Sus scrofa: one gene and its partners. The protein of the gene in region 1 interacts with the protein of each later gene in a pairwise test. Links are inferred from orthologs where the notes say so. Each region holds a gene or a part of one and is shown in the gene's direction. Other genes may lie near its edges.

The links.
Region 2: the proteins of MAPK8IP3 (region 1) and KLC1 interact in binary tests that used the Homo sapiens proteins (3 or more experiments, as listed by UniProt). The link is inferred for Sus scrofa from reciprocal best matches to the Homo sapiens genes MAPK8IP3 and KLC1.
Region 3: the proteins of MAPK8IP3 (region 1) and LDLRAP1 interact in binary tests that used the Homo sapiens proteins (3 or more experiments, as listed by UniProt). The two-hybrid records come from large-scale screens. The link is inferred for Sus scrofa from reciprocal best matches to the Homo sapiens genes MAPK8IP3 and LDLRAP1.

The regions. Positions count from the first base shown.
Region 1 is NC_010445.4:40,238,593-40,242,823, reverse strand, and holds the start of MAPK8IP3 (C-Jun-amino-terminal kinase-interacting protein 3), read left to right. Parts: upstream 1-1,372; 5' UTR 1,373-1,710; coding exon 1,711-2,028; intron 2,029-4,231.
Region 2 is NW_018084979.1:2,151,840-2,156,160, forward strand, and holds the start of KLC1 (kinesin light chain 1), read left to right. Parts: upstream 1-1,466; 5' UTR 1,467-1,731; intron 1,732-4,321. UniProt on the Homo sapiens protein: Kinesin is a microtubule-associated force-producing protein that may play a role in organelle transport. The light chain may function in coupling of cargo to the heavy chain or in the modulation of its ATPase activity.
Region 3 is NC_010448.4:83,040,587-83,044,224, forward strand, and holds part of LDLRAP1 (low density lipoprotein receptor adapter protein 1), read left to right. Parts: intron 1-332; coding exon 333-445; intron 446-2,332; coding exon 2,333-2,447; intron 2,448-3,638. UniProt on the Homo sapiens protein: Adapter protein (clathrin-associated sorting protein (CLASP)) required for efficient endocytosis of the LDL receptor (LDLR) in polarized cells such as hepatocytes and lymphocytes, but not in non-polarized cells (fibroblasts).

The DNA.
Region 1 (4,231 bases):
ACAGAGCAAGGGGAGAACTGAGGAAGTGTGAGGGCGTCACCTGCAGGGACGTTCACTGGTTCCAGCAGTCGGGTCAGGACCCGGCTGGTCTGGTTGAGCTCCCTTTGAAGCACCACACCAGGTGGAAGGCAGCTGCTAGGCTGTCACCAGTGGGCTCTTGATCAGGATTCATGCCATCTGTGTGGCTGCCAAGGCTGAAAGTGTCAGTCTTAGGTTCATGGTGTCCTCAGACCTCACTGAAAGGAAATGCAAATCAGGTGGCTAAAAGTGGGAGAAATAAGGGCCTATGGGAACTGGCAGAGTACAGGCGTTTTCGTCGTGGTGCAGCGCTAACGCATCCCACTAGGATCCACAAGGATGCAGGTTCAAACCCTGGCCTTGCTCAGTGGGTTAAGGATCCAGCGTTGCTGTGAGCAGTGGTGTAGGTTATAGATGCGGCTTGGATCTGGTGTGGCTGTAGCTGTGGTGTAGGGTGGTAGCTGTACCTCCAATTGGACCCCTGGCCTGGGAACCTCCGTATGCCGCGGGTGCTGCCCTAATCACAAACCAACAAAAAAATCTGGTAGAGTCTAAGGAAAATCAAATAGGACAAGTGGAAGTTAACATGTAACCACAGAAGAGTTCCTGCTGGGGCATCACAGGATTGGTGGAGTCAGGAGTGCTGGGACGCAGGTTCCATCCCTGGCCAGTGGGTTAAGGATTCGGTGTTGCCATAGCTGTGGCTTAGGTCTCGACTGCCTCTTGGATCTGATACCTGGCCCAGGAACTCCACATGCCATGGGGCGGCCAAAAATGAAGAAAAAAAAAAAAGTGAAATGGTAGATGGAGTCCTGTGGTGGCACAGCAGGTTGAGGATTGGGCACGGTCACTGCTGTGGTGCAGGTTTTATCCCTGACCTGGCGACTTCCACACGCTGAGGGTGTGGCCAAACAAAAATATATATCTATCGAAATGAACTCAGTGTGTGGGTTAGATGACGCATTGGTGAAATGAAACTGAAATCTGCATAAGTTACACAAAATCAAGACACCGAAGTGGAGTAAATGAGCGTTTGTTGCTGGATCTTAGGATGAGACTGGAACCCCAGAGGGGACAAGTGAAGGGCAGAGAGCTCTGAACACCTACCGTGTAGGCGTGCGTACTGCGGTGACGCTGCAAAGGCAAGTCAGAGGACAGCCAGGTCAGCATCCTGGACACCTCAGGAGGGAGGGGACAGGCGCCCAAAGATAATGGCCCTTCCCTCGGGGCGGGGGGAGGGGGCACGCGGATGCTCGCCCAAGTCCAGGCCGTACGGAAGCATTTGTGCACACTGCGCGGACGCGCGGCCCCTGGTAAAAATCTACGCCGTCAGCGTCGCGGGAGCTGACCGACAGCGGCTCTGACAAGCCTGCCGGAAGCGTTCCCTGCCCAGCTTCCGGCCGGAGACGGACTTCCTCCTACGTCAGGGCACCTGCGACCCCTAGCGGCGGGGCGCCGGCGGGACGGGCGGGCACCGCCCTCGCTGTCTGGAGGGCGGGACTTCCGGGCGGCGGGACTTCCGGCTGCTGAGTGACGGGCGCAGCATCAGCATCGGCGGCGGCAGCGGCTGAGCCCTGAGGCAACAGCGGCTGCGGCGGAGGCGACGGGCTGCGGCCTGCGGACTCACGGGCAGCCGGGGCGGGCGAACGCGCCGGCGGACAGCAGGCCGCGCTGGCGGCGGCGGTGGCCGCGATGATGGAGATCCAGATGGACGAGGGCGGCGGCGTGGTCGTGTACCAGGATGACTACTGCTCCGGCTCGGTGATGTCGGAGCGGGTGTCGGGCCTGGCGGGCTCCATCTACCGCGAGTTCGAGCGCCTCATCCACTGCTATGACGAGGAGGTGGTCAAAGAGCTTATGCCGCTCGTGGTCAACGTGCTCGAGAACCTGGACTCCGTGCTCAGCGAGAACCAGGAGCACGAGGTGGAGCTGGAGCTACTGCGCGAGGACAACGAACAGCTGCTCACCCAGTACGAGCGGGAGAAGGCTCTGCGCAAGCAGGCCGAAGAGGTGCGTGGGCCGGGCCGCGCGGGGGACCCTCGCCCCGCCCGTGGGCCCCGCCCTCAGCCCCCGCCCTGGCGGGGCCCGACTCCCGCCCCGCCCACCCAGCCAAGCCCCCCGGGGCACCCCCCCCGCCGGGCCCAGGGGCTGAGCCCTGGCTCCCCCTTCCTCCCGGCCCGCTGCTCCAGCCAGGAGCCCTGACCCCTAAACCACCTGGCGTCACGGGGGAGAGCTTGCAGCGCGAAGGGTCTCAGGCCCCAGTGTCCCATCCTTACCCACCTCTCATCCCAAACGCCAGGTCTTTTTGCTTTTGTGTGTGTGTTTCGCAAACGTTTCCTAGACTCCAGGTTGCTGCCGTTTTAAAGTCTCCGAGAAAAAGGAGGTTTCTGATCTTACGGTTCTGCAGCCAGAGGCTGTCCGTTGTCAGATCTGTGCCTTGTCTCTGGGCCGGTGTTTTGAAGGTCTGTGACCCGGGCGAGTTTAAGGATGGATATGAACACAGAACCAAAGCCTCGCTGGCACCTGGTGAAAGACCTCAAGTTTATGGAGGTGGTTTCTTTCCCCTGCGTTGCCCTCCCTTGGGGAGGTTGTTAGCTTCTGTGAAAAGGCTGAGAAATTGCACTGTGGCTTCCGAGGAGTTAAAAGGAGAATTTGGAAAGAGTGTATTCTGTCCTAGATATTCTATCTTCCTAAATTGGACGTCATGTCTTTGTGAGCCACTTAGAAGAACCACACGCATTGTAAGGAACCCCACTTACCTTCATTCATTCACCGTCATTTCACGCTCTATGCCAGACCTAGGCGGGTCCGGGGATGTGGGCTCTCGTCCCTGCTTTTTGCCTCTGTGACCTTGTCCACGGCGCCTCTCTGCCCCGGATTTTGCATTTCCGTCCGTCCTGTAGTCACTCGCCCTAGATGATCTCTGAGCCCTGACATTCTGTGCCACCCGTCATTGGGTGATGCTTTTCCATTGAGGAATAGGAAGTTTCTTACTACATGTGCTAAATTCCCCTGTAATTAATTTGGGTCAACACCTTCTTGACTTGAGTATTGAAGTGGATTGTTCCAGTGTTTCGACTTTTTCTCGAGCCCAAGCAGTGGGTGGCCTGGTTTGGTTTAAGTGTGTGTGTGCGTGAACGTTGTCTTGTGTCATTCTTGCTTCCGGGGACCCACTGGCTCTTGGGTTTTGTGCATCTGTCAAAGGACGGTTGCCTGCTGGGGCTCACAACTGAAGGGGATGCCCAAGCTTGTAGGATTTCGGAGTTCACGGTGGCCCTAGGCATTTCCTGGGGAAAGAACAGGGGGCGCCGGGGGGGGGGGGGGGGGGGGGGGGGGAGGGGTCCCAGGTCACATGCCCCGGAAGGACCAGGCGGGGACCCAGTGTGGCCTGACCCCTGGCGTGAGCTCTTCCATGATGCCGCTGTGGGCGGTCAGAAGCCTGACGCGCCGGGCTCCCCTCCCCTCCCCCCGGGCAGTGCCGCCCATTTTGGCCTGTCCTCAGCAGCCATCTGATGCCTCACGGTGGGTTTCAGGAGGGTTTCCTGCGTCCCGTGCCCGTGTGGTCCGTATAGTGGCCTGGAAGGAAGTCCGGGGAGAAGGATGGACGGCCTTAAGGCTGAGAACCCTCACCTTCCGACTTCACCCTCAGCTCTGGGTGGGCGAGGCCGCGCTCTGCTCCGTGCAGTCCAGGGGCAGCCCCAGCCGAGTGGGCCCCTGGCCGCCCGGTCGCACCCGGGGCCTGAGAGCTGAGCAGTCTGGAGGAGACTGGCTCCCTGCCTCCGCTGTTGAGAGAGGCGGAGCCGCGAGCCCCGGAGCGGACCCGGTTTGGCAGGCCGGCCAGAGGCTGTGATGTGACACTAACGGTGCCCTTAGAGAGACCTCCCGTGTGGCCGAGTCCCGCCACCGGGTCGGCATCCTGGCTCACTTTCCGCGTCCAGCAGACGCCCCTCTCCTGTTCCGTGGAAGAGACCGGTCGGGGGCGGGGGGGGGGTGCTTTTCCAGACACAGGGGCAGAACGGCCTGGCCTGGCAGTGGCTCCTGGCGCCCTGGCCGGTCTGCTTGGGAAGGCGTTTTCAGAGGCCGTAACCCGAACCGCCTGCAGCCTCTGAGTGCGCGCAAGCTGCAGGCTAAAGAAGAGCCGGGAGCAGAGCAAGCACCCCTGCCCCTGCGGCACGCCCGCGATAGGCTCAGCGAGAGGCTGGTGCCTGTGTTC
Region 2 (4,321 bases), on another chromosome or scaffold:
GCTTTCTCGCTTGCTCGCCTGCTGGGTGAGTGGAAGGAATGTCACACACTGAGCCCCGAGTCTCAGACAGAGAAGGGACTCTTGCTCAGCCTGCTCCCTTCTCCAAAGCCTTCTGGTTACAGCTGCCTGCCAAGCCCAGCCCAGTTGTTGAGGAGCAGGTGACATCCAAGCTGCAGTGTGTCCCAGTCACTCAGGGAGTGTGCAGGGGTTATTGGACTCTGTTTAACTGCCACCCCCCACCGCCACCCCCAGTAACTGCTGTGTCATGGAAGGCACTTCCCCACTTCTAGCTCAGCTTTGCATTTATAAATGAAAGCAAATTAACTGGACCTCCCTGGGAACATCCAGGGCCCTTTACTTCCAGGGTGACTGAGTAATTGCAGGGTTGAAATGGATGGCAATGCTGGGGCTAACATCTGAAAAGCAGAGCAGTTCAAAAGCAAATGTGGGGGCACATTGGCACAGGAGCCCCTCCTGGTTAATAATGAGACTTGGGACATCTGCAGGCACCTGGGGCGGGGTTCTCTCAAGCGGGTGGCAGGCAAAGAAAGCTGAGCTTTACCCACTGAATCAGCACCATCCTCCCAGCTGGCTGCTGAGTCAGGCCCGCAGAGCTGGCCATGCAGCAGGATGAGGCCCAGGGGCACTTTCTGACCTGGAAGTACTGCCCTTCGGGCTGGGCCAGAGTTGGCATCGCAGCAGGGGTGTGCCCTGGTGACGGCTGCCCGTGGGTGGGATGCGATGGCGGGGGTGGCACCTCTGCTGTGGCCAGGCAGGAGGGTTAAGCACCCCGGCCACTCTGACGACCCTGAGGTCCAGTTCCTGCGAGGCCTCCGTGGCTCAGGCGAGGGCCCAGCAAGTCCCCTGAGCTCTGACTCTTGAAGATCCCAAGGCCCAGCGTCCAGTGACCGAGGGGGGGAGGGCGTGGGGGCCAGGGCCCCGACCTAAGGCGGTAGGTTTTCCTGGAGGAAGGCCCCCTGCCTTCGTGCAGCGCCTCAGGACCCTTTCCTTTGGAGGGGCTGGTGAAAGATTTAAACGAGCACACGAAACACACGGAGACAGGGTTTGCACACAGCAAACATTATTCTCGATTCGCGAGGGCGGGAGTCGGCCGCGCGGGGAGCTGACCCGCCGTGCTGGGCGCCCCTCTGCCCCTGCCCGCGGGGAGGGGCAGCCGCCAGGCGCTCGGGGTCGCCGGCAGCCGCGCCCGCGCGGGGCCGCCCACGGAGGGCCCCTCGTCGCCCCTCGCCCCGCCCCAGTGTGGCCCGCGGCCGCCGGCCCGGGACCGCATCCGCGCCGCGGAGGCCCGCTCCCGCCGGCCCTCAACCCAACCCGCGCGGCGCGGGGGCCGAGGGGAGCCGCCCGGCCTCGGTTTCCCGGGCCGCCCCGCCCCCCGGCGACGGGCAGGGTGACGTCACGGCGGCGCGTGGCATTGTGGGGCGGGAGCGCCGAGCCGGGGGAGGGACGCCGAGACGCCATTTTCGGCGGCGGGAGCAGCGGAGCCGGAGCCGGCGGAGCGCGGGGCGGCGGCTGCGAGGAGGAGCCGCGGGAGACAGCGCGCGCGGGCGGCTGAGCATGCTGCGGGGCGGCCGCGCCGGCGCTCCTCGCTACTGACCGCGGCGCCGCACCTGAGGCGGCCGAGGCGGCGGCCCCGGCGGTCCTGCTCCGCGCACGCGCCCGCGGCCTCCCGGTGCTGACAGCGCGAGCGCGCGGCCCCGCGGGAGCAGCACGGTGAGTCGGCGGCGGGCCCCGGTCCTCCGGCCTCCCTCTTGCCCCCTCCCCGGGCCGCCGCCCGCGGCCTCCCGCAGGTCCACCCGCTCCCCTCCCGGTCCCGGTCGCCGCCCAGGCGCGGCCCCCTCCCCGTCACGTTCCCCCAGGTTCGGGCGCCCATCGCGCCCCGGCCGCACCCCGGCTCCGCATCCCCGCTCGGCCCTGCTGCGGCCGGGGGCGGGGCGGGGCGCGGCGGGGGCGGCCGCTCCGGGAGCAGCTGCGGCCCCGGGCGCCGCGGGGCGGGGGACGTGGCCGCGCCCGGGAGCGGGGCGCGCGGCGCGCGGGGAGGGGGCGGCCGGCCGGCTTTGTCCCGGTCCTCCCTCTTCCTTCCGGCCCCCGCCCTCTCCCGCGGCACCGCCCTGGGCGGACGCGCCTGTCAGGCTCGAGGGCGGCCGGCGGCCGGCGGGTCGGAGCGTGCGGGGTCCCTCCCGAGAGGCCGGCGGCACCTCGCCTGCTCCGGATCCCTTTCTTTGAGGCGCCGGGGGCGAAAACGTCTCTTCCACCGTGTTCACCGAGGCCCGAATTGCTCCCGCTCAGCTGGCAGCATCCTGGCCCCGGAATACTTAACTCGGTTGTCAAATTTGGTTCCCCTCTTTCCCTAAAAAATTAAAGTGAAGCGTTAAAGTTAATGCCTGGTGGATTGAATGGTTTTGTAAGTTAAGGTTTGTAGGTGCAGGTAATTTTGTGTTGGAGATTTTGTATTGTTACTGCTTTTTATGTTTTGTTATTTAAACAACATGGAGTTTAGATGCTAAGTGTTTGATAAGTATTTGAGAAAATGATGTTGTGACAAATGTGAGAGTAGCACAGCATTTGCGATACACCATTTAAACTGCTGTGTGAAAGGGCAGTTGGTTCTCTGATTCTTTGCATTAGTTAAACTTCTAGGCTGTTTTTGTACAGCGTGACTAAGCCATGATCAGAATCATCAGCTCGTAACACATTGTAATAGTTAAGTGTAAAAACTCATTAGGAATTGGAACAACCTCTTTAAATGTCATACTCTTATTAGGACGAACCTTTCAGGGGCTGGCCACAAGCCTTAGATAAGATGGGAAATGATTCATCTTCTGTTTCCTGAGTGTTTCCAAGAGTTCAGTGATACTAAATAATAAAAACGAGATTGTTGGGGCTTCTGTGTGGGAGGGTGCCCTCTCTTGAGCCGGTTTCTCCAAGTCATCCCAGACTGCAGCCTCATGTTGCAGTGGAGCCCGGCCGCCCTGTGGTGTTGCTGAGGGCTGTGGGGGACCAGGCTGGTAACCTCACTGCGGCCTGGCTCGTTCCCCTGGCTTGGCAGCGCCTTCTGTAAATGCTGTAGACGGTACGTAGTAAAGGTAGAAGGACATCCGTGGGAATCAGGACAGTGATTGTCGCTAGCAGGGACTAGGAGGAAATGCCACTGAGACGCATAGAATCCTGAGGGTTACATAGCAAACGAAAACTCCGTTGCAGTTACTTAAATTATACCTTCTTAAAAAAAGATTATGCCTTTTTTGGGGGGGAGGGGCACACCCTTGGTGTGTGGACGTTCCTGGGCCAGGAACAGAACCTGTGCCACAGCAGTGACCCAAGCCACTGCAGTAATAACACTGGACCCTTAACTCGCAATGCCACAAGGGAACTCCAAAGTATACCTTCTTAAACATGTTTCATATGGTTGAAAAGTAGGTAAGTCAGTGTGTAGCTTTCCATGTAGACTATAAACTATCTTAAAAACACAATTGTGTAAAGGGAACTAGAAAATAGAGGAGTCAGAAGTGGAATGAAACTTAGGATTCATATGACTGGAAACATAAGTAGAATATGTTAAGAAATCAGGACTTTTAACAAAGAAGTGGTCAGTAATGTCCTGAGCAGAAGCACGGGGAGATTTGAAGTGTCAGTGTCGTGGCATGGACTAAAGATGTTAGCCCATTAGGTTGCGAAAGCAGGGTCTTCAGTGTCTCCTGAGAGCCCCCTGCTGTGCTCAAGTAGTCGGGGACGAGGAGACAGCCGCCGCCATGGAGGAGCTCCATCTGATACCACAGAATAGGTCCTGTACTGTGCCCAGTGCTCCGAGGTGATGCAGGCTCTGAGGCTCGAAGAAAAGTGGGGTGGGACTGGGAGCGGTGGTGCTGCAGATTTCGAAGGGATGAGAGGGAAAGATGGGGTCAGGAAAGGCTTGTACACAGAGCTTAGGGCTTTGCTTTCATCCCGAGGCTAAGGAAGGAGGAGAGGAGGGGCTTAGGAGTGAGGTGATGGTTCACAGGTTCAGAAAGAGCATGGATGGCCTAGTGAGACTGTTTGTTTTTGGTCTTTTTAGGGCCCCACCTTCGGCATATGGAGGTTCCCAGGCTAGGGGTCAGTCGGAGCTGTAGCCGCCGGCCAACACCACAGCCACATCAATGCCAGATCCGAGCCTGCGACCTACACCAGAGCTCACAGCAATGCCAGATCTTTAACCCACTGAGCGAGGCCAGGGATCAAACCTGCGTCCTTGCGAATATTAGATTTGTTTCTGCTGAGCCATGGCGGGAACTCCGAGACAGGTACTCCGCTCTAAGTGGACACT
Region 3 (3,638 bases), on another chromosome or scaffold:
GCTCATTCAGCCCTCAGAGTCTGAGGTCCCTCCCATCTGTGTGTCCTTGGACAAGTCCCTTAACCTCTCTGAATCCGTGTCCTCCTGAGGCGAAACCCTGCCGCCTGTGAGGAGGATTCGAGGGCCAGTGCTTGGTGGACAGCAGGTACTCAGCGAGCGGCACTCATCCCTGTTTTCCTGAGAAGAGGGTGTTGGCTGAACTGTCTTTCCCGTCACCTAGGCCTCGGCCTCCTGTGGGCCTCACACCTGGGGCATAGACCAGCTAGATGTAGCCCACGAGGGTGGGTCCCAAGTGAGGCAGGCAGGCTCCTCTGACCCACGTCTGCCCCAAGGCGAAGGCCAGCGGGAAGAAGCTGCAGAAGGTGACTCTCAAGGTGTCGCCACGGGGGATCATCCTGACCGACAGCATCACCAACCAGCTCATTGAGAACGTGTCCATTTACAGGTACGCTCAGCATCGTCCACCCTCTGCCGCGCGGGCAGTGGATGGAGTGCCCTGTTTGAATCTAGGCTCTGCCACTTCTGTCTGGTCACCCTGGGGCCTCCAGTTTCCTCATCTGTACACGGCAGGGGGGACAGGACCTGCCTTGGGGTGCTGCTGTAAGCCAGGGGAGCATTCAGCGCTTCGTAAAGAGTGCTCAGCTAAGAGGCAGTTGCTGCTGCCATTATCACTAGTTGCAGCAGGCCTAGGACACCCCTGCCCCCCGCTGCCACCCCCACAAGCGTGCTGCTGAGTCAGGCTTGGAGCTGAGAGCTGCATAGTCACTGCCTTTTTTGCTAGGAATGCAGCAGCTCAGCTCTGGACATCTGGCCAGGCGTCCAGGGAGGCTGCAGGCTGAGTCTGAGACCAAAGTGGAGATGATCTCTTTGGGGGTGGGGGCTGTTCTCAGGGAGGCAGGACCCAGCCCCAGGAGCCTCAGGCTGTCCCTGCCTCTCTTGGCTGGTCAGTTGTAGGATTTCGGAGCTGAAAGGGACAGCTCAGGTCCATTTTCCAGATGGATAGCTGACTCCCAGAGAGGGAACCGCCCGAGGCTTCATGGTGAAGTGGTGGCTGAGCTGGGACCAGGACACTGAGACCAGAGTTCTGTCCAGCAGGCCCTCCACCACCAGGCCTCCCTCCACCCTCTTGCTTCGTCTCCAGTCAACCAGGCTGGCTCAGTGGGCTGGAGCACTAGCCCATACTGGGAATGTAGGTGTGTGTTGGGACGTGGTTTTAGAATTTCTAGGGGGTGTCTTCCTCTTACCTTCCTGATTCTACCTGCCTTCTTCAACCAGCATTTTCTAAGTACCTGCCCTGCTAAGGTCTGTGCCTGGTGAGGAATCAGACCCAGACCCTGCCTGCAGTGAGCTTCCAGCCTGGGAGAGATGGAGGGGGAAATAGGAGGTAGAGTGTGTTTCCTAAAAGGGCAGAGCAAGAGGGGCCTGCCTGGGGGAACCTGGGAAAGCCTCTCATGGGAGGTGGCACCTTGCCAGGGTAGAATAGCAGGATCTAGTCGATTGATACCAAGGACCCAGGGCATTTAGGACAGGCAGCTGGATCCCCTGGGCTGGAGAAGAGGTAGCTGGGAACCTGGCACCCCCTCTCTCTGCCCATCTAGGGGTTTAAGTGGTGCTGATCCCTATGTCAATGCCCGTGATTGAAGTGGGGGCCACATGAGGTCAGGGAGTCTGCTGAGCTCCTGTCCCACTTCTGGGCTGCCAGTTCCTCTCCTGATTGGAATTCCCAGGATGACTGGAGGCAGTGTGGTGGGATCAGACAAGGTGGAGGGGTGGTGGCAAGTGGTTCCCTCCTAGGCCCCCGCCCTACCCCCAGCTCCTCTCCCCCTGCCACAGCTCTAGGAGAACTTGTCAGACGTCTTAGTCACCCTGGGGGAGAGGGGACTGGGGCTCATCTGACCTCTGGGCAGGGGTGTGATCACAGGTAGGGCAGGGGTGGTGGGCGGGGTGGTGTCCTGCCTCCCCTTCCAGCAGAACCCTTAAGAGGACTTGCAAAATCTAGCCTGGTGGTCTGAAACTGTTAGCCTTAGTTTTCTCACTTGAAAAGTGGAGAGAATAACAGAACCCCTCTCAGAGGGCAGTTCTGAGAATTCAGTGAGGCGCGATATGTCTAGAAGGTTGCCTGGTGTGCTGTCTTTGCCCCCACTCACTCCTTCCTGCCCAGCCTGGGCTTCCACCTCCCCAGAGACAGCCTGGGATACCAGGCCCAGAGTCCCGCCCTGGTGGAGTGGGATGGCAGGCTCTCTGGAACTCAGGGGAGAGGCTCTAAGGGGCATTGCAGGTGAGGTGAGGCCCCTGTGCTGGAGTCTGGTGACACTTCCCCCTTGCCTTTCAGAATCTCCTACTGCACGGCAGACAAGATGCACGATAAAGTGTTTGCCTACATCGCACAGAGCCAGCACAACGAGAATCTCGAGTGCCACGCCTTCCTCTGCACCAAGCGGAAGATGGTCAGTGGGGAGAGGCTGGGATCCAGCCGGCTCTGGCCCTGCCTTGGCAGCCCTCCCCTGGGGTTCCTGTCTGGTGGGGGAGGCAGGACTCAGAGATGACAGGGATTGGGGGCTGAGAGCTGAGGGCACCGTTTAGGGCTGCAGTCCAGTGGGAGGCCTGTCAGGATGGGCTGCCCTTGGCTGGCCTGTGGGCAGTGACAAGCCCATGTTCCAGTGCCCTGGGCCCTTCCCTCTCCACAGAGTAATTTGATGGATTTGAGATTTGGGAGGGGTCCTCCTGTCACTCGTATGGTCTGGGGGTGCAGGGCGTTATGAGGGATTAATCCTTGGAGACTGGCGATCAGAGGGGCCCAGGGTGAAAGGCAAAGGCGAGAACCCTCAGGGGCCCGGGCTTGCTGTGGCCAGAGCAGGAAGTGCAGTGGCCGTGTTGTGGTACCTCATCTGTCTCTGTTTCGGTGGTGATCCTTAAAGTATCGTCTCATTTAATCCCCAGAACAACTCTGCGAGGTGGGCGCTGTTACTGTGTTCCGTGTTTTATTTTCATTTTTAATGAGGAAGCAGCCTCACAGAGGTCCGCTGTCTTGCTAGGGAAGATGACGAAGCCAGCCAGGCAGAGTGAGGGTCTAAACCTAACTTTCCTCCCTCCCGCGTGACTGTGAGGAGCCAGGAGCCCCCGCCCCACATCCAGGCCACCCTGAGCACAACTAGCTGGGACAGGTGGGACCTTGGGGGTCCCTGGGCATTTGCTTTGGGCATCATGGCCAGCAGCTGGAGTGAGTCAACCTTTGGCACTGAAGCTTTTGTTTCTGAGCCTCTGACGTCTGAGCACCCACCCTGGAAGGAGGTTCCTGACATTTATTGATTTGGATTTGGCTTCTGTTCACCTCTCTGTCTGAAGCCCAGAGCTCCAGTCCCTGTGGTCCTTATGGCCAACGAGACAAGATTCTCTCCCCTACCCCGTCCAGGGACACAGCCAGGACATCCCAGGCTTTCCATGTCCCCCCACCACCACCCCCTGCTTCCTGCTGCCCCTCAGGGCCTCTTCTCCAACTTCAGAGTCAGCAGTGAGGAGCACCGTCCAGCCACCCTCTCTGCTTCTGTCGTCACGTTGCTATTTCTGACTCTCAACCTCCTGCCTCCCTCTCATAAGGCCCTTTGTGATTGGGCCCGCTGGGTAATCCAGGATAATCC